Mus musculus: one gene and its partners. The protein of the gene in region 2 interacts with the protein of the main gene of each other region in a pairwise test. Links are inferred from orthologs where the notes say so. Each region holds a gene or a part of one and is shown on either strand. Other genes may lie near its edges.

Region 1 (10,017 bases), on a different chromosome or scaffold from region 2:
CTAGTGTTTAAGCTCCTTTCTACTTTTGTCCTGGGGTACCTGAGTCACCCGGCACTAGTCTTATCCAGTAATGCTACTTTGTATTTTAATGGTCTGGCTGAGGCTATCCATGTTACCTTCCTGTTATGAAACAACACACAATAGGGCTTGCCCAGTGTTCTGCAAATGGAGACCTGAGGCTGTGCTCTGTACTCAGGGTTCACTGAAAAACCATGTGGTGGCCCAACAGCCTTCCCTTCTCTGCAGGGAAGACTCTCACAGCCCGTGTCGTTGTATGTTCTCAGACACTCAGAAACTTTCTAGGTGGCTCTAGATATTTCTAGTATGGCACAGGCATATTTCTATATTAACTGGGAAAAAAAGCAATGTGTAAAACAGTATATATAATATGCTGTCATTGATATGTAAGAAAATGGAGACAAAACCATGTCTTTCTTTACCATCTGTATCTAAGAGACGGGTGCTATGGCTGACTCTGGAAGACATGTTGGTGTTAGGCACCTGGGAGTAGGCGTGGCTATGTCTCCGGTGTTGAGCTATAACAGTGCATTAGCTATTCAAAGAGAATAGCTTTGCCCCCTTCCTTCATTTCTTAACTCTTGGGCTTTCAGGACCTTTTCCAGGTGCTTCTGGTCATTTGGCTGCCACAGACGCGTGAAGACACCTTTCTTCCTCTTTGAGTACAACAGAACCTTTGTAGAGACAAAGCCCCACCTGTAAAGCACCTCTTGTGGCTGGCTGCTAAATGAACTCCAGACTTTCTAGACCAGTGGTTCTTAGATTCAGTGAATCAGAAGAGCTTGTTGATACACAGGCTCTAGCATAAACGTTTTAGTTAAGCAGGTCTGAAGTGGACCTAGAAATCTTCAACTGTCACAGGCAACTGACCAGGGTGAGGACCTCGCTAATCTGAAATAGCTTCTCCTTCTCATACGTTGGAGGATACTTTTGGTGTCCTAGCTGTGACCTCATTTTGATGTATGAGGGAATCAAAATTAGGATAGGCATGTTTTCTTTCCTTGGGCATGTCTGTAGTCCACTGTTAAGCTTTCTGTCTAGCCAATAGCACCTGACAGGATCCTTCCTCCTCAGATAGACAATATATATGTACTTTACCACCAGCAGACGGACACAGCAGAAACCTGGCACCTGTTCCTCCCATACACCCTGGAGCAGACATTCTTGTGGTCACTGCTGTCAACTCCCAGTGAAGGTTTAATTGGTGCTTAAGAGGGATACTAGAAGAGGTCCACTAATTGCTGATTTCTTTCCCAGTGCTTCTTTGCAGGGATGCTTTTAGCATCTTAGGCAAGACTGTTCTTTATAATGAACTTTCTGTTTAATGTAGGTAATTGGATCTTCTTTCCTTTGTCCTCAATTCATTAAGACAATCCATCTCACCACACATTCAATGCCCTCTGACTCATTGATCACCAGCCTTTCATCCCTTCCCACCAGGATGGGTGGTGACGGCAGTACAGTCTTCTGCTCAGAACCATGAAATTTGTATTAGCATCCTGACCTCTGCCCCAGTACGAAAGCAACGAACGGCCTTTGACTGCACTTTAGTATTTCGATGGTTTCTTAAAACAGATGCTGATATTAAAAGAGACCAAATGGTAAATGTTTCTTCTTGAGTGTCCAGTGGTGCTCAGTCTATGGTGATGTGTACTCTCGCTCTGTAGGAAGCCTTTACGAATTCAGTTGGGGGGGTGGAGTAGGGGGACATGTTCTCTCATGCCTCTCATCAGCTTTGCTCCAGAAAAAGTGAACTTTTTTTTCTTTTGGTTGCTCCCAAGTGTCATGAAACTTGGGAATAGATGGAATTATTGGCAGATTGAAAAGTTAGCTTAGAATGAGCCTTTCTACACGTACTCTTAAATGCTCAGTAGCTCCGTTTCATGTTTTCTTGTGACTTCAAGACCTTTGAAAGAAGGAATATGAAGAGTCCATGGAACAGGGAAGTACTAATGATTGTAGCCAGGAGAGGCTTATTCTAGGCCTGAGAGTGGGAGTGATGGAATGTCCAGGGGCCTGGCCCTGACTGGGTCTATCTAAGGTGTGGTGGCTCTGAGAATAGAGGAGAGGCATGGTGAGCTTAGAGGCCTCTCTAGCTGGCAGATCATGGAAAGTGACTAGAGAGGATGTGGTACCAGCTCCACACGTGTGGAAAGAGGAGCTAAGGTCAAGGAATTCTCCGCCAGCAGCAGAAGAGCTGAGCTTCCGCTTTGTCTTCCGTCTGACTTAGCACAGAAGAGAAGCAGAAATGCCCATCCTGACTGTGTCCACTTGGTCTTGTGGCCAAATAGGACAAAGTTGGTGCTTCCTGCCAGATGGATGGAGTATCCAGCCAGGAGACCGAGGTAGGCCCAGCCATTGCATTCCTCTAAGAGCCCAGTTACTCACAGTTCTTTAGAATGTGCCTCAAAGTAGGAAGGAAGCCATCAACTCTGTGTGAAGGAGCCCTCTGGGGCTCCTTTGTGCTTCATTAAGGGACCTCACAAGGATCTTTCATTCTGTAGCCTCCTGGCTTCCCATATGCCATGATGAGAGCCCATTTCCCTTTAGGTTTGCCCTTCATAAAGTAGCATAGCTCAGGAAAGGTAGAAACAAGCTACAGAGGGCAAAATCCACGAACCTGCACTTTGAGAGAAATGGGTCTTCTAAAGGCATTAGTTTCCCGCGTAAAAATGTAAAATTTGCCTCCAGAAGGAGCAAAGGTCTCTGAAGAAAGGAGACGAGAGACCTTTAGTGTCCTGGACTTGATGGAGTGGGTGGACTCTGTCGGCTGCCTTGATGTGAATTCTAGAGAAACAAAGAACAGAGGCCCAGTCTGTCAGAGGGACACTTGCCTCTGAGGCCATTCTTCTTCCACACTGTATTATTTTCTTTTAGCTCTGTCAGCCCTTTATCCGTGGCAGTGTCTCTCAAGCCAGGCCTCAGCTTACCCAGGCAACTTCTCCAGAAGACCCTGTCATCCATCTATACCTTCACTGCCTGGAGGTGGCACCCAAAGCCCTTCTCCCTCACCCTCGTCAGAACCAAAGCCCTTCTCCCTCACCTGTGCCAGACCCCTTTCCAGTCCTTCATCCTGACCAGAATACTGCCCATCAGTCTTCCATGGTGAAGAAGGCTCTTCTTGGAACTGTTGTTTCTGAACTCCAAGTTTGTAGCACCCCTTACTATCACCTGTGAGACTTCCTTGAGCACAAGGTAATGTTCCTGGCTGCTCTTATACTCTTTGACATGTCTGTCTCTGATTGGTTTGTCTTTCCTTTCTCCTTTTTTTTCCTTTTCTTCTCCCCACCCCTGTGGCTTCTGAGCTGCAGTTCAGAACATTCCCTGGTACGTGCAGGGCCGGAAGCAGTTCTCCAGGCCCTTCCCTGGCCCTCCTACCAGTTACCACAGCCGACCACAGAGAAGGCACTGGTGAGTCAGCAGGGCTTAAGTACTGCTGCTGTTGACCATTCTGCCTCAGGATCCTGGAGAGCTGTAGAGGGGAACTCGTGTCTCTGCCTGGGTTTCCAAGAGAGCCTTTATGTGAAAGCATGTCTGGCCAGTTACCTGGGAAGGTGAGAGTACAATGATTTTTTTAGAATTACTTGTTGGCCTTGGCTTAGCCAGTAAAAATTTAGAGTCAATGAGAAGTGTCATTGGGAGCAGCCAGGACAAAATCTGAAAGGGTGGAGGGGTGGGGAGGGGGCTTCCAGCTTCTGCTAGAGATTATTCATGCATGAGTCCTGAAACTTCCCCTCCCGACTTTCCAGGGCACCCCTCTGATGAACTCTGCCCAATTTTGAATTCTCTTTTGTCTTTGTAGGGAGGCAGACCTCCTTGGTTTGGAGGATATAGTGGGACCCTGTTACTGAGCCTATAACCACAGCTGGTTGTATGTCAGTGAGCTGTTTCAGGTTGCCTGAGAGAACACACACACACACACACACACACACACACACACACACACACAGATCGCAGATGTGCTCGCCTTCTGTTTATGGAGAAGGCTCTTGTAGTAACAGACACAGAGAAAGCCTGTTGAACACAGATGGTACCTTTTGTGGCCAGTTGTACAGTAGCAAATATTCTCAGGTTTCAAAACCATGGGTCATCCTTTGGTATTTTGTGTATATAACCTGTGTCATGTACATATATAACTTTCTATTGTTTCCACGGTGAGGGAGGTGAGTTCCCTTTGCCACCTTAGGTTCTACCTTATTTTTGAGACAAGATCTCTTTCTGAGGGGCTGGCAAGATGGCTCAGTGGTTAAGAGCGCCGACTGCTCTTCCGAAGGTCCTGAGTTCAAATCCCAGCAACCACATGGTGGCTCACGACCAGCTGTAACGAAATCTGATGCCCTTTTCTGGAGTATCTGAGGACAGCTACAGTGTACTTACATATAATAAATAAATAAATCTAAAAAAAAAAAAAAAAAAAAAGATCTCTTTCTGACCCTGGAGCTCCACATTCTCTCTAGACTACTAGACTAGCTGGCCATCAAGTCCCAGAGATCCTCCTATCTCTGCTTTCCCAGAGCTGGGCTTATGGTGCACACCCCTGGGCCTAGGTTTGACATGGGTACTGGGGATTGACCTGAGGCTCTGGGGTTTATGTAGCAAGCACTTTACTGACTATAGATTGTAAATCATGTCCTCTAGATAGCAATCAAACGGTCCCTGAGAAGTTTGGAAAGTCATGTCTTCACCTAGGGCCAGGATGTCCCAAATCCCATTCCTTTGACCAGTAACCAGAGTCCTACAGGCTCAGTTCCCGGTATTACAAGCTGCTGACTGTGAGGCAGGGGTTCATCTTCAATGACCTTCAGTGTTCTCTGGGACCTAACTGCCTAACAATAGCACATCAAACCGCAGTTGCAAATGCTTCATTGTTAATTCTTTTTCTTATGGCAGCACACGTATTTTTCTAGACTTTGTTACTTGCTAATTCGTATTTAAATATGGAATTTAGTTCTATCTCTTTCCGAGGTAAGCATTTTCTCTGAGCTATTTTGTAGAGAGTTAATGTGCTCCTCTGTAGGTTTCACATTGTCTTGCTCTTTTGTATTGCTCCTTACATTGAGATTTATGCAGCCAGTGGGTTATTCATCTGTGGATGGTCCTCTTAGTAAATTGCTTTCTCTTGGGCCTGTGTCTCAGGAGGCTGCTTGGGACCTTTGCCATTATTGTAACCATCTTGGAGAAATTCCGTCCTCTTTTCCAAAAAAGAATACTAAAATGGCATGCCTTGATACTCATTCATTCATTCAAGAAGTCTTCCTTGAGTGACAAGAGCGTCAAATTTCCTGCTCTAATGTACTTTTCATTTAGAGGGAGAAGTAGGTAGCAACTTTAAGGTGCCGTGGAGAACAAAGTGAGGGGCGTGTGCATGCTCGTTTAATGCCTGATGGCCAAGTAGAACACATTTTTTATGGAGGGGACATATAAGCAAAGTGGAGAGTGAAGGAAAAGCATGGGTCATAGGGCATCTGGATGGAGAACTCTGTTCAAGGCCAAGAGCTTGGCAACCACAAAGATCCTGGGGCTGGAATGAATTAGGTGTGATTGAAGGAGCAGTGAGTTGGCCAGCTAACAGCAGGGGGCTAAAGCAGAATGTAACAGGAAGTGAATTTTGACCGTGGTTAGGGCATTGCTATGGGATATTTACCTGTTTCCTCCAAGCCTAGGAAACTGTGGCCCTCCACAAGCTCCCTTAGCCCCTTTGGCTGTATACATCTGCTTTGATTTTTCCTTCCTCTTCCTCCCACTCAGATAGCTGTTGAAATCCTGCCTTGTAGTAAATAGTTAATCTCAATAGAATGGCGGGAGGCGGGGAGGGCATTATTCTGCCCTTTCTTTCAGTTCCCAGATAAAAGACACAAAACTTTTGTATTTATAATAAGCCTTTAATCAGCACTAGAGCTGGGCAGATATCCGTCCTCTAAGCTATTAGTTTCTACTCCCCTATCTATAACCCTGAGTTATAACTTGCCATGTTTCACCTGGGCAGCTCTTAACTCCAGTTGACCAGCCCTCATGGCCATGTTTTCATGACTCATCTACCCCATGGCTTCTTCTCCTCTCTCCAACATCTTCTCCCCCTCCTTGTGTACTTCTGCCTCAGACCCACAAACCCAGGAGCCAAAACACTGCCTACCTCTCTTCTGCACAGCTACAGGCTGTAGGTATCTTTATTCACCAATCAGGGGTAACTGATCTGGTTACAAAGTATCACTTGGTGTATGTGAGGATTTCTTTATCCCAGGGGCGTTATAACACACAGCAGCAGACCAAACCTCAACATGCAGGCAATGGTAAGGACTTTGGATTTTATTCTGTATATAGTGAACAGCCCCTGAAGATGCTTTGTGGTGTGTGTTGGTATCTGACTGCTATTTGGGAGAGGAGTGGAAAGAGAAGCAGATGATGGGCTCTGCAGTGGTCTATAAGTATCATGTTGGTGGTCGTAAAGTGGTCAGATGAAGGACCAGTTGAAGTAAATTCTGGGTAAGAGGCAGGGTAAAAAAAAAAAAATGCTAGATCTGAGCTCAGTGTCAGGGATGCAGCCTTTGCCTGGATGGAAACCACCACTGGAGAAACACCTGGCTGGAGAGTGGGATATTCTGCTGGTTTTTTCTTAGATAAACTAGTGGAGGTATCCTGCAGGCTTCTGGCTGTGACATTCAGAGATCAGTGGGGAGTCTGGGAAGTGAGAATAGAAAACTGTTGCTTGTATATAAATATGTGATTCTGGATTACATCACCCAGGAAGTGAGCACAGCAGCCACTTAGGGGCCAGGAAGAGAAAGGAGGAGGAAAAGAGGAGAGTATCCTAGAAAGCAAGGGCAGAAACGACTGTCAGGGAAAGAGGAGTGACTGGCTGTGTCAGTGCACTGATGTGCTTCACATCTCCATAGCAACCGCCATGGTGCCTTCCAGGTGTGATCAGGCCATGCCTCCTCCATTGGACTAGCAACTCAAGGAGGCCAGGGTGGATCTGGTCTTCTTTTTATGCTTGAAGCTACTCAAGACTGTGACTTGGTTAAAAGGCAGGTGATGGGGTCTGCTTGCTCCAGCCAGTGGAGATTGAAGGTGGACAAGGAGAAGCATAGTGCTGGGTCTTAGTCACTTTTCTATTCCTTGGCAATAGCAGGTGGCACCCTCTGCTCTCCTTATACGTGTGTAGGCTTCTAACAGTGGGTCCCTTAATGGGTTCCTCCACAGGTGTTAATAGTCTTGTGTACAACTGTGAAGCTGTGATTTTTTTCCCCCTTCATCAGTAAGCCTAGAAATTGGGATTTCTTAATTTGGAATCTCCTGAAGTATCTGCCTATTTGCAGGGAAATGAGCATCACCAATGCTTACAGCTAGACTTTTAAAAACTTATCATTAATCCTAAGTGATTTTTTTTAACCAATGATAACACCTACCTAAAGCTCCCAGGAGAGGTAGGTCCCCTTGTCTGTTTCAATTTAACCAAGTCACAGCTCTGTTGTGTGAGACCCAAAGTGACACTTGTTTGCGCTATCTACTTGGGGAGAAGATTGGGGGTGGGGGGCAAGGAAGACGTTAAGGGATGTCCCGAGGAGAAGGGGTTGAATGGCAGAGAAGACAGAAGGAACAGGAAAGAGCACACAGGTGTCAGACTCCCAACTTGACCCAAATGTGGTTGTAAGGCTCCAACCTTAGGACAGGGGATATAGAAGAATCATAATGGGCAGTTTGAATGCCCATTGCTTGATGTAGCCTAGGGCTCCTTACTTTCTATGTAATCCTGAGTGTGCTGAAGAAGCACAGAGGAGAGCCCTCTTTGGCCTCCTTTGGAGATACCTTTCTCATAACCATGAGTTCAGATCCTTATAGAGAGCAAGGCCCAATGGGACCTGTGTCCAGGAAGGAATGATATGGGAGTACTTTGGGTCAGCCGTGACTTCTTCCTTTGACGATTAGTATGTATCCAGGGGAATGCAGTGGGCCTGAAGATCTGGCCATTTCTGACTGGAAGCAGTACCTAGAGTAGAACAGCCTTAAAGACCCATGCCTTGGTTGGTTCGGAATTGATTTAACCAAAGATCACAAACTGGGTGATTTATGAAGAACAGAGATTTATCTCTTACAGTTCTAGAGGCTGGAAGACAAAGATTAAGAGGTCACATTTTGTGAGGACTTCCCCCCTCCCCCCATTGCTACATAATCTCACGGTAGAACGTGGGTGGGCAAGAGATCATGAGACTCAACAGGTTTCAGCCTACCTTTATGGCAAACCAATTTCCAAAATCTGAGCCTACTCCTGTATGAATGTTGCTTCATACCTTAAAGGTCCTCCATCTCAACATTGAAGTCAGGATTCAGTTTCTAACACATGAGCTTTGGGGGACACACTCAACAATTGAACCCTTCAGAACTGGGCAAAGTATGAGTTAAATTAAATATAGTTTCTTTGCAGCTAAGAGAATGGGATAAGGTTTGGTTATAATTCTTTCTCTCTTTCATGGATGTAGGGAGACTAGAGGACTCGGATAAATAGTGAGACCGTAGTACCATAGGAAAGGACAGCAATACTTTCTGATTGAAATGTTTATGAGTGCTTTAAAGAGATGGAAGCCCATCTCGGCATAAGGAGACCACCAATTGAGAATCCTGTATAAACAAAGAAGACCATTGGTGTGGGTTAAGGGCCCCCTCAGAGTTCAAGCTGGTAATAAGCTTTTAGCCCAGGGTCCATCCCCTGGAGTTTTCCATGGAACTAAATTATAAACTTTTCCAGACAATCCCTGATCATGGGGCCTGATAAAGTTCAATCTTACTGCTAAAGCTATGTCAACATTAAAGCTGCTTTTATTCATTTGCTATCCATTAAAGCCATCACAGATTAATTATTTTTCAAAAGAAATAAAACTATGCTAAAGTTGTGCATGTAACTCATGACCAGATGTTGGAAGTCTTGGGCTACCCTTCCATGCTTAAAAATACTGCAAGAAGTCTTGAAACAGTAAAATCTGAAAATGAAGCTAAGCCATTGAAAGGATGAGCATGAGCAAAACCTTTCACCTCATGAGTTTTACTGGATCATTTTATTTCTGAACAAGAATCCTAAGTTATAAATTAATACTGGATGCTGAGACCTGCATGTAACCAATTTTGTAGTGTGTGGGAAAGTCGGAGGGAAATCAAGAACATACGTGATGGGGAAACTGAGAATCTCTGGTAGCTTAGCTGAGTGTCTCGAAGCTCAGCATCCACCTGAATCGTCATCTATGAGTAGGTGACAGGGATGCTGATGGCAGGAGGCAGGGGAGGTGCTCCTGTCCCACGTCTGAAGGAGTTGGAAAGCCACTGACGATCTGCCACCTACAGCCTCCCACTGAGTGGTCCAGAGCGTGGAAATTGTATTGGGAATTTCATAGCATTGCCTCTGACTCTACCCTGCCTGCATGTTCCTGGTGCTTGATGCAAGGCTGGCAGTGTCCATGTTTGTGGGCTGTTCTTACTTCTGCGTGACTACCCTAGCTGGTGTTGTCTGGCCTTCAGCCATGTCATACCCTTAGGACATGCACCCTCCTCTTTTTGAGTTATGGGGGTTGCTGGGATATGAGGTTTGTGAGTGAGAATCTAGACTTGGGGGGGGGTCTGTCTGGTCTGGTAGGAGTGAACCAGGGTGACAGACATCTTCAACAAGAGAACTTAAAACAAGGGACCTTCAAATGGAAAAAATCAAGCTTCCCTGAAAAAAAAGCCTCACAGGAACCTCAAATGGAAGTGTGGGTTAAAATCAAGATGAGAAGCAACATGAATAAATAAGGGGTTTAAAGACCTTTGCTTAATTATTTTTTTTAAAGCAAGTTAAACATGGACAGGATGTGATGGGCTTGGTGATATTCTAAGATAAAGCCTGGAGAAAGGAAGTTTATTTTGCCACTATCTTTTCTAGAGGTTATTTTCAGCAACTATAAAGAGAATGAGAGTTCACCTACTGCAAGCTAAGGAGTTAATCTGCCAAGTTCATGGTTTCTGGCAGGAGAG
Region 2 (9,960 bases):
CCCAACTGAGGCCTTCATTCTTGGTCACCAAGCATTTTATTTGCTGAGCCATCTCCCAAGCTAGCATCTGAGATTTCAACCTAAGCAGGTCCCAGCGTAGGGCTTACCTGCTAAGGTGTTTCATATGGCGACCACAAAGCACTATAGCAGACACTTGCAGAACCCTAAGTGGGAATGGAATCCACAGCTGCACATGAGAAAAGAAAGGCAGGTGACTGAGCTAACCCTAAGTCACTCCACCAAAATTCTCACATTTTTAGAATAAGACAAGGAGTTTCCCCATTTATATTAAAAGAAACAGAGGAAGAATGTGGCTTAATAAGTCACCCCAAAACACTCAAATTTACTTCTTTTGTATGAATTTCTCAAATGTATAAATCATAACAATTTTATTTGACAAATATCATGACTATAAAATAAGTACAATGTTCTGAGGCTTCCCCACATTGTTAAAAGAAAATGGCAATACTTTCCTGACATTTCTTAACCCATCATACAACTGTTTAAAACTACTCAGAGAATCTAATCTCTTTTCCTACTCCTGGCAGGGCTACAGGAAATCAATGGGAACACAGAATGCTTAGCATAAACCTTGGAACAGAGTAGACTTTAAAACTCAATAGTCTCACTAGCCTGTGCAAGGCAGGCTTTCCATATTTTCTAGTGTCACTACGATTGGTGGTGCACTAGAGGAATCTACACCATTCACTGACTTTACAGATACCAACCAACTACCAAAGGACACACCAGAATCTTCCCACTTTCTCTGGTTTCCTCAGTCTTCACTCTGTCTTTAGTGGTAAAACTCAATATGAACAAAACAAGATTGTCAATCTGAATGTCTGAAACTCAGCAGTTGAGAGGCAGAGACAGGATGATTGTTAGAAATTTTAGGCCACCCTGGTCTATAAACAAGATCCCGGCCAGCCAGAGAGATACATAGCAAGACCCTGTCTCAAAGCAACAATGACAAATTAAAGACAGACTAGTTTTAGTTATATTATTTTATTTTAAATCACACAAGCATGATTTATGAGTTGGAAATATCTCCCAACCCAACAGTCTTTTTAAAGCCATGTGAAAGTGTCACAATACAAAACATCCAAGTCCAAATGCCAGCAAAGACAAAGCAACAAATGCAGATAGAGCACACTGACAACAGATGGCAGCACCTGACCACTGAGCCTCTTTTTCCACTTGCCTGTTCTATTGAGACTTCCACAACTGCAAAATCCCAAATTAGAGTAGGCAAAATGTTCTATTAGGACACCTCATGTGCATTTAAAGTCATCAATGAATACTACGATAATGAGTCCATAGAATGTGGCAGTCCATAAGATGTAGTATAATAATGTGACATGTGACCATGTGACATGAAACTAACCTGAGACATCCAAGGTATGACATGGCATTACTTGAAGTTGTAAAGGCTGTGATAGAAATGAAGTTGGGTTCTTTCATGCTGAAAATTAGGATCATTATCAGCCATAAGAACAATGGTCACTCCTTTCCCCTGGCTGGCAGCGCCGCAGGATGCCTGGAGCTACTGTAAAAGACATTAACCAGCAGGAGTTCGTCAGAGCTCTGGCAGCCTTCCTCAAAAAGTCCGGGAAGCTGAAAGTCCCCGAATGGGTGGAAACAGTCAAGCTGGCCAAACATAAAGAGCTTGCCCCATATGAGAACTGGTTCTACACATGAGCTGCTTCCACAGCACGGCACCTGTACCTCCACGGGGGTGCAGGGGTTGGTTCTATGACCAAGATCTACAGAGGAAGGCAGAGAAATGGTGTCAGGCCCAGCCACTTCAGCAGCGGCTCTAAGAGTGTGGCCCACCGGGACCTCCAAGCCCTGGAGGGGCTGAAAATGGTGGAAAAGGACCAAGATGGGGGCGGAAAGCTAACACCTCAGGGACAGAGAGATCTGGACAGGATCTCAGGACAGGTGGCAACTGCCAACAAGAAGCATTAGATGGATGCTGGGTTAATAAATTGTCTCATTCATTAAAAAAATAAAAGAATGGTCACATAAGCACAAAATATACTTCAGAGTCTCTCACGTAATTAGTAAATTTGGTATTTTAAAAGAAATATAATTTGCACTTGTGTGATTTATCTAAAAGGCGTTACAATGGGAAATGCATTTTTACACGTTGTTTATAGTTTTATATGTATACACCTGAGAAATACTGTCTCAAAAGGCTTTCACAAAAGGTCTGCCAATTTTTCATACTAGCAATATGAAATAGATTCCTTATTCTTCTGTATCCTGTAGCTAATGCCAAAGAGACCTACATTAAAATGTCTGCTGTGTGCCATTACTAAAACATTTAATCTGTCTACAATGTACTTATAAAAGAGTAATTATACTTACTGTAGGATGCTTTGAGAATCAAAGAAATAACTCTATACATAGAGCATTCTTAATTAAAAGGTATCGTTATTGTTCCAAGTATTTCCCCATTCTCACACAGTAAGTTTTATTTATTTATTTCATGTTCCTCAGCAGGCAGGGAGAAGTATCATTAGAGAAAATAGCCTGGAGTTTTCTCAGTGTTCTTGCAAATATTGTATACAAAAATATAACAGACTGGCATGAGGGGTGGTAGGCAAGGAGACTGGAGAGATGGCTTAGTAGATAAGAGTATTTGCTGAAGAGGAATTTAGTTCCTAGAACTCACATAGTGGCTAACAGAATCTGTAATTCCAGTTCCAGAGGGTCTGGTACTCTATTCTGGCCTTTGTGAGAGCCATGCATGCTTATGATACACAGACATACACATACATTTAGGGCAAACACACACACACACACACACATTTAGGCCAAACACCCATCAAGCCTCTTTTTCCACATTCATGTTCTGTTGTGACTTCCAGAATTGCAAAATCCCAAATCAAAGCGGGCAAAATGTTCTATTAGGAAACCTCATAAACATTTAAAGTCACCACTGAATACCAAGAAAATGAGCACACAGGATGTGGCAACTGCTACATAGTCACATCTACTGCTAAGTAGCAGATAGTGGGATGTGTGTGTGTGTGTGTGTGTATAGGTAGGTAGATATAGATAAATTATTTTATTATATATTTATATATAAAATACAACCAACCATTCGAAGAGGATGTTTTATACTATTGTGTACTAAGCCTATGAGACAGTCTCTGACTAAACTCAAGGGAAGAGTTGCATGGTTAGTTTTACTTGTCTAAGTTTGCTGAAGTCATAATAGCTTTTGCTTGATGGTAAGCAGTCATGCATTGGAGTAACCAGAGTGCAAACTAAATCTGTTATTTCTTAATTCTTATTGGTACTGCTTTGATGAGAGGCACACAATGCCATGCAGACTTTGGTTGATGATTTATTAGAAAGGTCCGTCCCAAGAACAACTTCCGAAAGATTATGGACTAATTTTCCACATACTCCCGTAGGCGAGTCAGGAAGCACAATTCCTACCTGCCTACTCTAATTAGTCTGGCTTCTCCTTTCCCTTCCGGACAGTCTACTGTTGGTTTAGACAGGGGTGGAGTTGGAGAAGTGGAAGAGATGAGAGGCAGGACACAAAGAAAGCTCTTGATAAATGCTCTCAAATGCACGCAACACTGGAATTAAAAGTCGTGAGAGCCTCACTGTCTTACTAGTTCGGCTTGGATGAGGTCGTTTCATTAGATTTTATGTCCTCAGTGCCTCAATCGGGATATGTATTCAATGTTTATGAACATATGAAAATAACATGGGAACGAGCACAATACTAGTTTATAAGATGATTACAGCATCCCAAGTGGTTGCTTTAGAAATATACGATCTGTGATGCAGTAAGATGAGTGCTATGTACCAAGTGATAACACTTTCACTTTACCTTAATTGCCAAGTGAAGTAAACTTTGGAAACCTTGTTACCCAAGCAAGGTAACACCACTGAGGTGGGGCAGCTAGTATGTAATAATACATTGGCCTAGAACCCCAGCTTGTCAATCATAGAAGGAGGAACCATTGATTCAACAAAACTTGCTCAGTAGCTTCCATAGGCAGCTTCTGGCTGGAATGCACCGTCAGGTTTAGCAACATTAGCCAGTGTCCCCACCCTCCCGCCCTAAGAGCTGGAAATCGGAAGAGAAAACGTGGCTATTGCGCATGCACACACGGCCCTCCCCGCTCCCACCCGAGCCCCTTGACACCCCAGTAGCAACTTTGCTAGACGTCTGTGGACCGGTTCCAGGCCCACTGTGAAGCCAAACTGGCGGAAGCCGGTCCCCTCTGCGACGTGGAATCTTTCCCTTCCCTTCCTCCGGTCTTCCCCACTTGCAAGGGGCCACCTCAACCCTTTGCTTCTCAGGGTTTTGCCGGTCGTCAAAATGGTCGCAGACAGGCTTGTGGAGGCGAAGGCTTTTCATTGGCTAAGCTCTCGTACGGCCCCGCCCACTTTCTCCCTCTGGGCTGCGCCTGCTCTGGGCTCCGCTACGCACGCGCGGCGGGGGCGGGCCGGCTTGCGGGCGGGGCGGGTCTTCCGTGTCGCTGTCGCTGCTTCAGCCCCGCTTCCTTTGCTGCTCTGGAGCTGCGCTGCCGGCGTTGGCGGCGCGAGGGAAGGGAGGGGACCGGCGGGTGTGTGTCTGTGTGTGTGTGCGTGTGTGTCTGTGTGTGCGCGCGCGCGGGGGGCGCCGCGGTGCTAGCAGTTCCCCTCGCGCGGGGCGGGCGGCCAGAGTGAGCAGCAGTCGGCGAGGCCCTGGACGGCGCCATGTCGGCGGGTGGCCCATGCCCGGCGGGAGCCGGCGGCGGCCCAGGGGGCTCCTCCTGCCCTGTGGGGGTCTCCCCTGGCGGGGTGTCCATGTTCCGATGGCTTGAGGTGCTGGAGAAGGAGTTCGACAAGGCCTTCGTGGATGTGGATCTGCTTTTGGGCGAGATCGATCCGGACCAGGCGGACATCACTTATGAGGGGCGTCAGAAGATGACCAGCCTTAGCTCCTGCTTTGCGCAGCTATGCCACAAAGCCCAGACTGTGTCCCAGATCAACCACAAGCTTGAGGTGAGCCTCGGGGGCTGGCAGCAATAGCATTCAACCCCAGGCTGTCCGAGGTCGTTAGATCCCATTTAAAGCACTAGGAAAATGATCCTTAAAAACCTACCCACTGGACACCTCAGCTTCGAATGCGATGGAGAGTGCGTTTTATACGTGAGTGAAGCAAAGGAGTGCGGAGCGGGTGGGGGAGGAAAAGGATGCAGACTGATGTGTGGGTCTCCAGACGTCCTGTCATCCACCTCCCAGCATCTCATGCGGTGGGGACAGGAGCTAATCACACTACCTGCCTTGTAGGTGTTATTACCAAGATCTTCTGTCGGGGAATACCTCAACTCTCCTCTTCTGCTTTGATAATGACAAGCTAGATGATGTATTTTCAGACAGATGCAGCTCTGATTATTTTCATCCAATAGCCCAGATCAACGTCCGTGTCTGTACACAGAGACATGCATGAACTTAGGGGAATCCGATCAAAGCTCTTGGGGAAATGTAATGGAATATATATGTTCCTATCTACCTTCTCAGTTTACATTCACACTTGGCAGATATTACGGGCAGCTATGTCTTTAGAGCTGTCAATATTCAAATAACTTCTAGTATTGAGTGAGATGGTATGTCTTTGTATTTTACAGTATTTTCCCTAATTTCAGACCTTTGAGACTATGTAAAGACAATCCTTTGCTTAGGTCTCTAATCAGAGCAAGGGGAGTGTGATTGCAAACAGGAATTCCAAACCTCCCATTTTGTGTGGAAAATTCAACTAGGCCAGTATTACAAGATTTAGAAATTATGGTGTACTAACATTATATGGGAAACCTTTTAAAAATAGACAATTTCAGTAGAGAGTAGCTCTTTGATTTTAAAAAGGATTAAAAAAAAAGAGAGATACTTTGTTATGTGTGAAGTTCTTTGTGCCTTAGCTTTCTTAAGAGCTCCTCTTTACTGTTAACTGTAATAATGATAGGGCCTGTTGTGTACAGATTCATGTGTATGCTAGATTGGTTTCCTGTCCTTGCTTAGTGCTCAACAGTCTTTCATATTAGTTAGCCATGAAAAACATTTGCCACTAATATTTGATTAGCATCTTACATATTCAGGATGCTATGGTTTCTTTTTGGAAAGAGTGGGATGAAAGTACTTATGTAAAAGCATTAAGTGTAGATAAGGCTGTCTCTTGATTTTTTTTTTTTTTCTCCAATGAATGGTAATTCCTAAAGCTGAGTTTTCAGGTAGTATTTAGTGGCTTTTAAAATGGTATTTTAGCTTTAAAGATCAAAGATTAAGAGTAGCTTTTGCCAAATAACTTACATACCATCTCCATATTTAACCATATACTGGAGATAAGTGGCTTTTAAAACATAAAACAATTTTAACTTGTTTTTTAAATGACCTAAGGAAGCTAAACAATAGTACTTTCTGATGTTAGCAATAAGGTCTGATTTTGAGAAAAATATTTTTTTCCCTATGACTAGAAGGTATTCAAGTTTTTTAAATTTTTAAATAATTTGAAAGAATATTTCTCTACTAGACTGTGCATGTAATAACTTGCGTGTTTTTTTTTCCAGGAAATTATACTTACATATTCTAAGTCCATGTCCCATCTTAGGAAGTAGCATTACTTCTTAAAGTAAAGAATGCTAGCATATCACAGTGTGTGGTTTTCAGTATAATTGCAACTCTTGATTCAGAGACCTTAGAAATGATGAGGAGGATAATTTGGTTTTTCTGCTTAGTATATTCAACTATACATGATTCACCTGTGACAATTTTTATACATAAGACATCTTACATAGTTTTCGTATTATAACTGTGTACTGCTGTGAAAAGACTTATGGCCAGTCACAACTTTCCAAGTACACCTAGTGTGCCATATTCAGACTCTTGGGATGTTCTGTGAACTGTTGACAATCTACTGAGATCCTCAGTGTTAATCTTATAAGAGATTTTGGTGCTTTCTTACTCAGTCTTAATTTTGTCTCAATAAGTAAACTAGGCCTTCTGACTAGTCTTTAAGGATGCTGAAGTCATAGGTGACGCTGCTTGCTATCCGTGTAATAAACGTATACCAAGTTTAGTTGTTTCAGAGATTAGTACTTATAATAGAATGTTTTTATAGTCTCAAGACATGGATAACTCCAGGGTGGGTAATTTGTATCCGTAATCTCAGTCTTTAGATGGTGGAGACAGGAGGATCAGAAGTTTCAGGCCAGTCTGGGCCACATGAAACCCTGTCTTAAGAAAACAGATATAGATAAATGAATAAAACAAACAATACTTACACAAAAGGAACGTTCATATCCTTCCAAAATGCAACTTTTACTCTGTCCTTCTGTTTTTAGGTAATACTACATCAAATTAATCTAGTGGTTGGGAAAACACTTTTTTTTTTTAGTATAGAGTAGAGTTTATTTAGGACATGGGAAGGGGAGTTGAGAAGGAAGTAGAGATGGGGGAGTGGGGTTGGAGGGGGGAGAATAGACTGGACAGGAACACGTGGGGGGAGGAGAAAGGGGTCAGAGAGGGAAGAGAGAGAGAATAGGAGCTGGAAAACACTGAAAAAAATTATTAGTTCCCTTTTAAATTAAATATAAATGCCATCCATGTAGCAGCTTTTTGCAGTAAGTTATATTTGGCAAGAGATGTATATAAAGGACTACGTTTGAAGAAAAAAAAAATCAGAATATTTTGAGTTGGCACTATTTCAACTTAAATTTCTCAAACTTTTACCTGCCTGAGAGTTCCCGCTATGGTGAGACCGTTGGTTGAGGCCCAGCTAGAGTCACCAATAAAATAAGAGTAACAGTGGCAGTAATAGCCATAGAGGACCAAAGGCCATGAGCCAGTGCGTTAAAATAACTCACCTCTGTTTTGGAATGTATGCTCTGTTTGCTCCTTTTAAGAAATAATAGCAAAACAATACACCTAGACTGCACATGGTGGTCCTTGCCTATAGTCCCAACACTATGGAAGTGGAGGGGGGAAGATCAAAGACACCCTCAGCTATACATTGAATTTGGGACCATCCTGGGCTACATGACACCCTGTTTCCAAAATCAAAAAAATAAACCTTCTATTACATGTCTTTCTTCCACAGTAGCTGAACTTGTTAATGTCTCTTTGAAGTGATTTAGTGTGCAAATCATTACTAGAGAAGTGTTAGGCCTTGGTCAAAAGTTATGTTGACATTAAACTGATGATATACTTGATTTTGTGCCACTTTAAGTTTGTACTGTTGTATTTATTTGTTGGTGGATTGGTGTGTGGGTGTGTGTGCAAAGGAGAAAGTTCAACATCAGGTATCTTCCTCCTGTTTTGAGACAGGATCTCTCAGTGAACTTGGAGCTTGCCAATTTGGATAAACTGTGCTGGCCGGTTAGCCCCTGGCATGTCCTGGGGTGGCAGATGCCTGTCCGGGTCTGGCTTTTTACTTGGTTGCTGGGATCTGAACTTCAGTGCACATACTTGCATAGCAAGCATTTTATCAACTGAACCATCTCCCCAGCTCCATTATTTTTATTTCTGAAACAGGAACTCTTGTCATTGCTGCCTCCATCTCTGCTTCTCCTATCTCCATCTCCCTGAAGGAAGTACTCTCAACCCAAGACTGTAGTGGACTAGTAGAAATTAAGATAAGAGATACAGAAATACTATTTCACATTGTATAAAATCAGTGTACTAGAAAGTGGAAAGTATGATGGTGCTCATGGTGCATCTGAAAATCTGGGGAATTGTTGAATGTACACAAGAAGTGAGATGCCAGATAGATGTGTATTGGCAGGTAGCGAGCCAGACTTGCCTTCTTGCATAGGCTATGCCGTAGACTAGAGCTTTATCATAACAGGAGCAAACATTCTTAAACTAGATGTGTGTCCCAGATAGATTTGATTAGACTCTCCTGGTTATAAAATCCAAGTTTTAATGTAATAGGCTATCCTGGCAGAAAGTTTGAGAAAATAAGAGTGAATGCAAGAAACTCTTCAAGAGTTTCAAAGTATCCATGTGGCATTATGGTAGTATAAACTAAGTGATATATATAAAGTGTTCAGAGCACGAGAACCTTAAAACGTAAAATTCAACAGAGTCCAGAACTGGATTAGAGGGAGGGAGGGATGAAGGAATTTCGGACAACTTTATGATGCATTGTTCTTGTGTCTGGACAGATGGATCTGTGACATTATTAGCAATAGTGATATATAGCTAACCTTATGGATCAGTTACTATGGATTAGACTCTGTCTTAAATTTGTTTTTTACATATTCATCTCATTTTCACAGCAGTTCCTTAAGAAAAGCTTATAATTATTATGGAAAGGATGTAGGCGGCCCACACCAAGCTAAATAAATCATTCTGTACAAACAAATTGATGTTAGGAGGGGGTTGGGGAGACAGTTGAGAAGCATCCGGAAGAGGTGGGTATGGATGCATAGCTTAGAAAGGCAAAAGTAGGCTTCAGGGAAGGAATTACTTACTTTATTGTGTTTTTCAATGAAAAAAACTAAACTTGAACATGTTTATATTTAAGGGAAAAGCTGAATACTGTGGGGTAATATCAAGATGGGTAATATTAAGATGCTGGGTACAGATAAGACACAAAGAGCTGGCACAGTAAGTGGCTTTGCATTATTTATATAGTAAGGAGTGAAAGGTGATGAGAATAGATGGGGTGAGAGGGTTGCCAGGATTTCTTTTCTTTTTCTTTCTTTCTTTTTTTTTTTTTTTTTTGATTTTTCAAAACAGGGTTTCTCTGTGTAGCCCTGGCTGTCCTGGGACTCACTCTGTAGACCAGGCTGGCCTCGAACTCAGAAATCTGCCTGCCTCTGCCTCCCAAGTGCTGGGATTAAAGGTGTGTGCCATCATTACCCGGCTAGGTTACCAGGATTTCTGTGTGATTCTTCTTTCACTTTTCTTCTCTAAATTAGCTCAGGTCAGTTGCTGAAATAAGAGGAAGGA
Region 3 (10,023 bases), on a different chromosome or scaffold from region 2:
AAGGAAGCATCAAAAAAGGACAATGAATTTTGCTGTTATTGTTGCTGCTGCTGCTGCTGCTGTTTAGACTTTTTCCTTTCTTTGTTTTATTTTAATTTTTAGACAGGGTCTCCCCAGGCCTTGGTCTGGAATTTCCTCTCTAGCTGAGGATGACAGAGAATTCCTGGTCCTCCTGCCTCTACCTCCCCTGTTCTGGGCTTACAGGCAAGCATCCTCACTCTCAGTTTAGTAATAAAGATTGTTAGTTCTACCTTATAGTTATATAATGTATTCTTTTCATCCCTATATAAGAATTTACAATCTTGAGAGAGCATCCTTGCATGTGGGCTCCATTAGTGCATGTCTTTACATGCCATGTTACTATAATTTGTGACACAGTTTTTTTTTTAATTGACTAGCAGTAAAGTAAAATAAATTGAAGCAAAGTTCCATAGCAAAAGGGAAGAATACTGAAGAATCATCATGGAGGAGTAAGATCGTAGCAGCAGCCATTGCTACATTGCTAGGCTACACTCTGACAGCAGCTGTCTGAGATTCCATTCTCCTGGGGGAACAGCCTGTCCAAATTCCACCAAAAAAAGTCATAAAAATATTTGAGCATAGAGGGCAAAGGATGAGCCTCTATAATGCACATATTTATATCCATAGATATCCCAAAGCCATAAGGGCTAGAAATCCCGGAGGGCAGAAGTCAGCTGCTCTATTCTCTGATGGGAAAAATCGAGGAGAACTGTGGTTATCAGGGTTTCCCAACTCATCCATGGAGCTGCTGGGGGTGGGGTGAGACCAAGAGACAGAGAGATGGGAGAAAGAGGAAGGGAGAAAGCCAGGAAGCGAAAATAAGAACGGAGGCATGCTGCTCTACTCTTTTAATTCTAGCACTCCAGAGGCTGAGGCAAGACTGTGGTCAACCTGAACAGGCTCTACTCACAAGAGCAGCTAAACAACACAAACCTAACACAATGGCTTTAAATAATGCAAAAGGGGAAGAAGGAGGGGGATGAGGGGGAAGAGGAGGGGGAGGAGGAGGGGGGAGGAGGGGGAAGAGGAGGGAGGAGGAGGAAGACAATACCTCAAGGGCAGCTCAGAGATGGATGGGTAGGGAGGCAAGGAAGGTGGAGAGAGATCTGAATCGAATCGGGTTGGGGTAGGGAGCATGAATATGATCCAAATTGATAATATGAAATTCTTGAAGAATTAGTTAAAATATTACTTTAAGGATTAATGAATAAACTCCTTTTGAGATGAAAACTAAAAAAAAAAAAAAAAAAAAAAAAAAAAAAAAAAAAAAAAAAAAAAAAAATCCTAGGGCAGGGAGACCTCATCTCACTAATCTCACTAAATAACAATAAAAGAAAGCCAGCAAAAGAGGGACTGTGGTCCTGTCCACAAGCACACACTCCAACCCCCTCCGTCCCTCTGGGTCAGAAAGACCCTTGGTTGGATCCTTCAGCTGATTTTATCACAACTCCCACTGAATAAAGAAAGCCCCACTAAGTTGCCGTGGGCATCTCCTCAGCCTTGCTGTCTTCAGTGTAAACATTCCTTTGGGTCTTTCCTTCTATTCTTTCTTTTTCATGTTTCACAGAGTTTCCTCCATGGGATAATTTTGTGATGTCCCTTATCCTGCTACCTCTTTTCTCTGGAGTCGCCCCTGCCCCATGCATCTCAACCCTGCTTAGGGCTGTTCTAGACATGCGGGCCTGACCCCTCCCAGTCCTTCCTCTGTTGTGTTTCTCTTCTTTGATGAGCTGGGACGAGAGAGACCTTCTCTATGTAACACACAATACAACATCTTCCCCTTCACTTCCAAGTTCAGGCATCTGCAATTATGTTACATTGCATAGCAAGTGGGAATAAGGATTCATCATCAGCTAGCCTGACAGAGTTTTTCCTTAAAGTAAGGTTAACTCAGAGAGAGATGCAGAAGGTGGGGAGGGAGGAGCTAGACTGATAAGATGTAATAAGAACTTGACCCACAATTTCTGTTTTGGGAGATGGAAGAACAGGCTGGAAGCCAAGGAACATGGGTGGCCTCTAGTAGTTGGAAAGGGAAAGGAAATGGAGTCTCTTCATGAGCTTCCAGAAGGGAACACAGTTCTGCCAACACCTTGATTTTTTTTTTTTAACTCAGTGAGACCAGTTTCTGACTCCCAGCCTTCAAACCTGCAAGGTAATGAATCGGGATTGATGTAAGCCATTAAAGCGGCTGTGATCTGTTCCCACAGGAACAGCCCAGTTCAGCACTGCTTGTGGAATGCACAACCACTGCCAGGCTACCACAGGAGGCAGCCTGTTGTAGGCTCGTACTGCCCAACCCTATTCACAAGAGGAAGTTGAGTAGCAGGGCTCCACCTCCTCTCTGATTTAGTGAGGAGGAGCATTACCTATCTCAGAAAACGAATTCCAAGATTCAAGTGCATTGGTGCAACCCAGAGAATGGGAAAAAGGAAGGTCTGGGCACCCTAGGGTGTCTTCAGCAACAGTTGATAGAGGCAGAAGACCCCGGATCAGGGCAGAGATTAGTCCCTAACAGATATTGTTACATTAGGCCTCCACCTGTCATTGTCATTCTCTTCAAGAATTCACAGCTTTGAGACAAAAGGGGAGATGTAAAGAATTGTATCTGGGAGCTCACGTGCATATAAAGTTGCAAATAGTGGCAAATTGTGTGTTGTATGTATGCAGTTCAATGTTTTTTTTCCAACTATCTAAATCTTTGTCTTAGAACATGTGTTGTACTTAATGATGCACGTGGGACCCTGTCACCCCAGGCACCCCAGAGACGCGCATCCTCAGCGCCTCTTTGGGTCCCTTTCCCACTATGAAAGGGACGTGAAAAACCTCTGCACTTTTCCGATCTGGCTTGCCCAGGCCACCGAATCCTACCCTGTTGAGTGCTCAATAGTACGCTCAACTTTTGCACCAATCGCACTCTGGGCTCAGTCCCCAGACACAAACTTTTTGTGAATCCAAAGAGAACATCCAACCACAGGGAAAGACTTTCTGCCACTTCTTCAGCCGCTCAGTAGCTGCTCCAGGCATCGGTCTCCTGAAGCACCACCGCTCGGATACAGAGGGGAAGCGGGTGCTCCCGGGAGTTGCAAGCCAACCCAGCTTCTTGGCCCAGGCTCCAGCGCGTTCTGGAGATGTACCTTCCAGAGCCCTGCAGTAAGCTGGGGACACCAGGGACATGCACACCTAGGACAAGCAGATACACTCCTACCGTCGCCAGGCGCCACCTGCACGCCGGGCGCCGCCTGCAGCCTTCGGGCATCCGATTTAGGGGTGCCAGTGCAGAGACTCCCGCCTGGGCAAGCAGCCTTGGCGCACTATTCTGCAAAGAGTTAAGAGCCGGCTGTTAAGACTCCTGGGGCCGCGTCTGGTCCCCAGGCCCCGCTCACCGCTCCTGATTGGCTGATCTCCTGTCAGTAGTAAAGAGGATCAGATAGCAAACTTGGGACCTTCATAAAGGCGTGGTGGCGGTACTCCGCGACCGCTGGCAGCCTATGACATCAGCCAGGAACGCCTAGGATGCGGCTGTTCCCGGCCACCCTCAGAGGAGGAGGGTCCTGCCTGCTGGGAGTTAATTAGCCTCGCGAGCGGCGAGGGGGGAGGCGCCAGTTTTCTGGGGACACTGGCGGCCACTGTGCGTCCTCCTACCCAAGGGAGCTCCCCAAGAGTTGGATGAATTCTGGGTTGTTAGCTGCTGTCCTCTGGGCTCCCGGGAGCCAGTTTCTGGTGGAAAGCGGGGCGCCTGGCCAACGACCAGCGGCTTGCTGAGACTCACCATGACACTCCTGGGGTCTGAACACTCTTTGCTGATTAGAAGGAAGTTCCGATCAGGTAGAGTAAGGCGTTCAGCACTCCTTAAACTTTTCATCTCTACCACTCAACTGCTTTACAATGAATGCTTCGGGCCTGAGGTGGCGGCCTTCCCTCTGTTTCCCCAAAATGAACACTGTGTTTGACTGAATGCCTTCAAATGTCTTCCCTTTGACCTGTGTTAAGTTTGAGTTTTGTTTACGAATAATCCAATGTTTTACTTTATTTTACTATATTTTCCTTTATCGGTAAATAGACATTTTTAAGGGGACGACCCAAAAGGAACTGTGTTGAAATGGGCAACTCCAGGATCTGAAGTTATAGAGTGGGCGCGTTATCAGTTACAACCGCTGAGACAATGTGCCTAGGACTGTGAGACGTCTAGGGGTCACTTAACATGTAGCTAATCCAAACAAATGTATTTCCCAAAAAAGTCACTTGGAGGAAGTAAAAATAGCGAATTTGGAGCACACCAAGAATTTTTAAATGACATCACCATGGGGGAAAAAAACCAGCGCCACAAATATTTTTTCCCAAACCATCTGATATTTATAAATGGACAATTTTCCCTAAAATTGTTGTGTTAGTGGCACACAGAGAAACTTCTGGAGGGACACTCAGGAGAGGTGAGTATAAGGAAAGGGTACGTGGGGGCCTACAGAAGACGCAGGATTGTGTTCCCTCGTTCGCATCCTGGAAGGGCTACCTAGCTTTGCCCATTCTTGCTTTTATAACAGTGGTAACAGGGCCATTCAATGATGGCAGGGCACCTTCTAAGAACGAACATTTTGGTGGATAGCTCTGGTGTGAGCCTTCCATGTAACAGGTGCTGGCTGATGCTGGTGCCACTCACTCTGTCAATTCCCTTGGTCCTTCTGAAGGAGCTACTCAACTGTTTGTCTTGAAATGAGTGGCTCAGAAATTGTGCACAGTGGGTGATGGGCCATAAGGAGCCTCTGTAACCACCTCAGTTGTTCCTGATCCTTAGGTGTGGATGGGACACTCTGGGGATTTCTTGAAGGATTGTTTAGTGAGGCAAGTTGAAAACTTAAGAGCTGAAGTGGCCAGGAGCCACAGTGCCTCTGGAGGCCTGGGGTGTGTCTCCTAACCACTAGCCACCGGGGTCAGCCATGCACGTTTGTCCTTTCCATGTTGAGGTGAGGTGGTTAGTTTGTTCATCAGAGACCTCACATGCTTGGTAATTTGCTCAAAACCACAAGGCAATACTGCCACCTTTCTGAGGGAGCAAGGATGTCATTTTTGTTTTTGCATAAAGCTGAGTTTATTTCAACTGCTCCCGTGCAGTTTAATGGGGTAGACGGAGGGACAGGGAGAGGCTGCTGGATCATTTCTAAAAGGATTTGGTGATGTTCTTGATAGTGGGCTTGCAAAACAGACTTATCAAGGAATTCCTCAGCTGAAATATGGTGGAGAGGGAAAACTGTTTGCACTATTTTAACCCCTAACTCAGTGGATTGTGCAGGCCTGAGGTCTCTACCTGGACCCTGCGAATCTTTATCCTGGAGCTTTGAAGAAGTCCAACCCCACTTTTTTTTTTTTTAAGACAGGGTTTCTCTGTGTAGCCCTGGCTGTCCTAGAACTCACTCTGTAGACCAGGCTGACCTCAAAATCCACCTGCCTCTGCTTTCCAAGTGCTGGGATTAAAGGCATGTGCCACCACTGCCTGGCACCAATCCCACGTTTTTCAGGCATTTTTGTCATAAGGAAGGTAGTTTGTCGAAGCATAATACAGAAGTAGGAAGCTTAATTTAAGCTTTGATTTAAAAGTTGAGGGGACTGGAATCGATGACAGACAAAGCCAGTTGCGCATCTTAGGTGTTGTGCTTGATAATCTTACACAAGAGAAAGAAAAACATTATTGTAAGATTGTAAATCAGTTGATGGCTACTGGTTATAGTTCCTGGACAGAGTGACCATGGTGGACATGTGGCCCTGAGGCCTGCCTGGCCTTGTATTAACTGCCTCTGCCTAGGGGACTTTGCTTCACTTTCTGTCTAAAAATGAATGAGGAAGGTCTCTTGTTCACCTTGATATCTCTCTCTCTCCCTCCCTCCCTCCCTCCCTCCCTCTCAGTCACCCCCATTTCTTTCTTGAGGGATTCCAGCTGCCAACTCTAAAACTTCGTATATAGCAGTGAATATTCACTTCAATAGTAGATCCTGGTAGTATGATTTTAAAATTAATGTTTCAAAACTAACTGAAAGTAAACTGTCTTACGATTATAGCAATGGGCTTGCTGTGATAGGACTCGTCCACCATCTCCAGACAGTCCCTCTCATTCTGAAACTGGCGTGGGCAGCAACCATGTTTTACCAACTCCCTACTTACAAGTAGACGTGTGATTGACTGACCTGCCATGAAAGTTTGGGACTCAGAATGTTTACATCTGTGAACATGTTTAGTGATGTTAATTAATCTTACCTAGCAGAAGCAGGGTGTCATGGCTGAATGTGCGGGTCTCGGTCAGACTAGCTGGGTTTTCAAGCCATCACCTCTTTGGTTTTGGCTATATGACCTTTAACCTAGGCCAGCATCATAGCTCTTCTGCATCTTACGTGCCTCATACGTGGAGAATGCTGGTGACTTCATGGTGCTTAGAAGAGATAAATCTGATAACACAAGTACCTGAGTTAGGACATTGACATGCTGGTGAGCCCTGGCCAAACAGTGCTCAGGACGAATAGCAGTGGGATCATCAATCGCCCGTGGCTTCCTTCTAGACCTTGGTTTCTTAGCTTGTAGATGTCCAGGTGAAATGATGTGGTTTCTTAGGCCACGCTGGTATTGTCCGTGGCTCCTGGGAGGTGTAAAGATCATGTGGGAACAAGTGAGCTGATGAGGCTGCGTGGCCTTGGTGGGCGAGTAGAGGGCAGCTTGCTTAGACGCAATACGGTTGTTATTTTTAAATCGACCACGTTTTACAGAATTCATTTTTCTCATTCGTAATCCAGTTCTTGTAATTGGTGTAACTTTCTGAAGTTTTTTTCTTCATATCATTCTCTGGGTCAAGGGCCCACACAGGAATACAAGCAGATAAAAAGAAAAATGGAGAGGTTCCTTTGTGGGTTTTGTTTCAAAAGAAACAATGCCTTTCCTTGTTTTGTTTTGTTTTGTTTTGTTTTGTTTTGTTTTGTTTTGTTTTGTTTCTCCCATTTCTCTCTGTTACCCATCTCAATCAGCCCAAACCAAGGCTAACTCTGGTACCTGGCATTGCCCAGCCTTGCCCTCCCCACAAGTGTAGAATTGTCAGATTTGGCAAACAGGAATACGGAACACCCTGTTCAGTTTTAATTTTGAACAAACAATGATAAAGCTTTCAGTATTTATCAATATTTAGGATGGAGTTTTCTCTGAAACGCACTTCGTTATGCCTATCGTATTTTCCTTGGCAATCACCTACAGTCCTGGGACTGTTTTTCCAACACTCTGCTGTCCTGTCCAATATCCCATGAGCCTCTTGAGATTTTGGGTCCCCCAAAATACAGAATACATATCTCAGCTAAGTCTCAGCGTGAAGTAGGGACGGCATGAGAAGGAACCCTGGTGCCCACGAGCAGACCCAGGATTCAGAGGGAAGGAGGACAGCAGGTTCATCTCGGCCTTCCTGGCAAAGAGGAGACTCTGATACTGCACAGCTATAGCTAAAAGAAGCTGGGGACAATCCAGGCAGGCAGTGGATGCCCAGGATCCAGGCCCCCACGTATGTGAGTAGTTTCTCCAATGGAAAGCCCAGGTCTTCCTTGAGGGATTTTAGACCCTTCCTGTCCCTCTTTTCTTCGTCCTGCAGATGATGTAGTAGATTTACTGAGTTCCTAATTAATCTAGACCCTTAACCAGACTGGATTGTCTCTCTTACAAGCTGAGGTCTTTAGATGGGGATGGGGACCCCTGATTTACCATCATAGACACTATGGGAAGAAATGTCCACTATATGATAAAAAATATCCCCGTGCTGCCTGAGCCACTAGCTAGTCTTAGAGCTTGGGACAAGAAATTTAACCTAAAATAAGGCCTTTCCTATGACATATAACCTATAGAGATGTCGATTTAATTTGGCTTTTTCAGATCTTGTTTTTGTCCTGTGCAAAACCGAAGGTTTTAACTGATTCATCTCTGAAGCTTTTTTCAGCCTGAAGACTTTACCTTTTCCCACAACTGAATGGCCTTAACTATTTTTGTGAAATTTTAAACAGTACAAGTGTTAAAATTTAAACACTAAAGCATTGTCATAAGAGACGCGTGGTGGCGCACGCCTTTAATCCCAGCACTCGGGAGGCAGAGGCAGGCGGATTTCTGAGTTCGAGGCCAGCCTGGTCTACAAAGTGAGTTCCAGGACAGCCAGGACTACACAGAGAAACCCTGTCTCAAAAACACCAAAAAAAAAAAAAAAAAAAAAAAAAAAAAAAGAGAGACTGTACTGAATTGGGCTTTAAATGATTAATTTTTAAAATAGGTATCTTAATTCATCTTTTAATTAATTAATTTCAAGACCAGGTCACTCTCTAGGCCAGGCTAGCTATAACCTACTACGTAGCCCAGGATGGGTAATACGCCTGCCTCAGCCTCCTGGTGCTGTGATTAGAGACATGTGCCTCCATGTCCAGTGATATTTTAAATCGTTTGTAAAAGGCAAAGACACTTTCAGGGTCAGACTTGGGTCACGTCCCCAAGTCTGATAGCAGTGGATTTATTCATACAGCATGGGCTTTCTCTCCCTATCTGAGTTAGATGCAAAAGCCCGGCCCTTCTTCCTTCCCTATTTTTATCTCCTATCCACTCCAAACCTTTGCACAGACTAAACATTTTACTTATGTACTGGTATATTATTATTCTATGTGTATAAGAAAAATTCTTATCTGCTTTTGGTTTACAGCCTTTTACTCTCTACCACCTAGGCCAGGGCGTGGCATAGAAAGGGAACCCACAAAACATGTGCTCAGAGCTGGATGTCCCTCAGGAATACAGTATGTGCGTAGGAGACTCGGGATTGGATCCTTGGGACTTCAGAAATAAATACGTGTCATATCCCCCAGCTAAGACTGTTCAAAAATCAATAAAAGGCCATCTTTTTTAGGTACGTGGGTATGGGTTGAAATTAACTTAAAGGAGGATGTAGAGAGAGGTGAGTAGACTCTTGAGAATTTCAGCCAGCTCTTCACACGCAAGCAATAGTTACGTCCCAAAGGAGGGCAGTGTGTAGAGAGTCATAATGCAAAAGGGATATCAAAGCGGACGAGACTAGGAGGGGCATGTTCTGAAGACAGAAAGTAGGGTCTACTCTGGAGTTTGGAGGTGGCTATGTGCATAATTGCTCTGGTCAGATTCACTAAGTGAGATCACTTCTGGGCAGATGGTAATGTGTGGCTGTTTACCACCCACCAAGGATTATGACTGAGTTGTGACCTCTGATTCTCTGAAACAAACAAAAAAGTGTTTGGGGGAGAGGGGAGACTGAAGATGGTGCCTGTGTGAGAGTACCTGTCTAGCATGCAGAGGGCTCCAAATTCAGTCCCCAGCACTAGGAGGGGTGGAAGGGAGTAGAAGTAGGTATTTTTTTGTTTTTAAAGCAAGAGCAAACGGCGTTCATTTTGTCTGCTACATTATATGACAGATAGAGAAAAAGACTATATCACATTGTATTGAGTTTGTTTCGGTGGTCTCTAATCCACAGTAGATTAATTTGAAGAAAACCTAAATACAGGGCAGAAGCCAAGTTCTATGTCCCAGGGTTAAAATATGACATGTTTAAGAGGAGTTTAACCTGAATGAGAGCAGATGCAATTTACCCACAACAAGCTCCCTGACAGGTGGTGAGCAGGCACCTGGCATCTCCGTCCAGGTGCGGATGGAGGACCAGCAGGTTCGTTCTGCAGGCATCTGCAGAATTATGACTCCCTCCGTCCTGGAGGCAGAGCCACGTGGGTGCTACTATATCTTCCCTGACAGTGTGACCTTGGGAAAGCTAGCTTTGCTCTCTGGGCCTCCATTTGCATGTTGGCAAAATGACTCATGGTCTTTGCAGCCGGCAGGGCTCTATGGGAGAAAGATCTCTGACAGTTCCTAAGAACTCATTTTACAGGGAGAAATCTTACTCCCCTCATGGCAATGGCTTGCTTGACACACTGGCATGTGAGTTCCACAGGACAGAAACCTGAAGTAGTTAAAAGATTCTGATGG

The links. The genes of interacting proteins can lie anywhere in the genome.
Region 1: the proteins of Gopc (region 2) and Mylk interact in binary tests that used the Homo sapiens proteins (3 or more experiments, as listed by UniProt). The two-hybrid records come from large-scale screens. The link is inferred for Mus musculus from reciprocal best matches to the Homo sapiens genes GOPC and MYLK.
Region 3: the proteins of Gopc (region 2) and Myocd interact in binary tests that used the Homo sapiens proteins (3 or more experiments, as listed by UniProt). The two-hybrid records come from large-scale screens. The link is inferred for Mus musculus from reciprocal best matches to the Homo sapiens genes GOPC and MYOCD.

The regions. Positions count from the first base shown.
Region 1 is NC_000082.6:34,781,456-34,791,472, forward strand, and holds the start of Mylk (myosin light chain kinase, smooth muscle), read left to right. Parts: upstream 1-3,494; 5' UTR 3,495-3,548; coding exon 3,549-3,572; intron 3,573-10,017. UniProt on the Homo sapiens protein: Calcium/calmodulin-dependent myosin light chain kinase implicated in smooth muscle contraction via phosphorylation of myosin light chains (MLC). Also regulates actin-myosin interaction through a non-kinase activity.
Region 2 is NC_000076.6:52,376,667-52,386,626, reverse strand, and holds the start of Gopc (Golgi-associated PDZ and coiled-coil motif-containing protein), read left to right. Parts: upstream 1-4,502; 5' UTR 4,503-4,728; coding exon 4,729-5,016; intron 5,017-9,960.
Region 3 is NC_000077.6:65,263,467-65,273,489, reverse strand, and holds the start of Myocd (myocardin), read left to right. Parts: upstream 1-3,500; 5' UTR 3,501-3,791; coding exon 3,792-3,846; intron 3,847-10,023. UniProt on the Homo sapiens protein: Smooth muscle cells (SM) and cardiac muscle cells-specific transcriptional factor which uses the canonical single or multiple CArG boxes DNA sequence. Acts as a cofactor of serum response factor (SRF) with the potential to modulate SRF-target genes.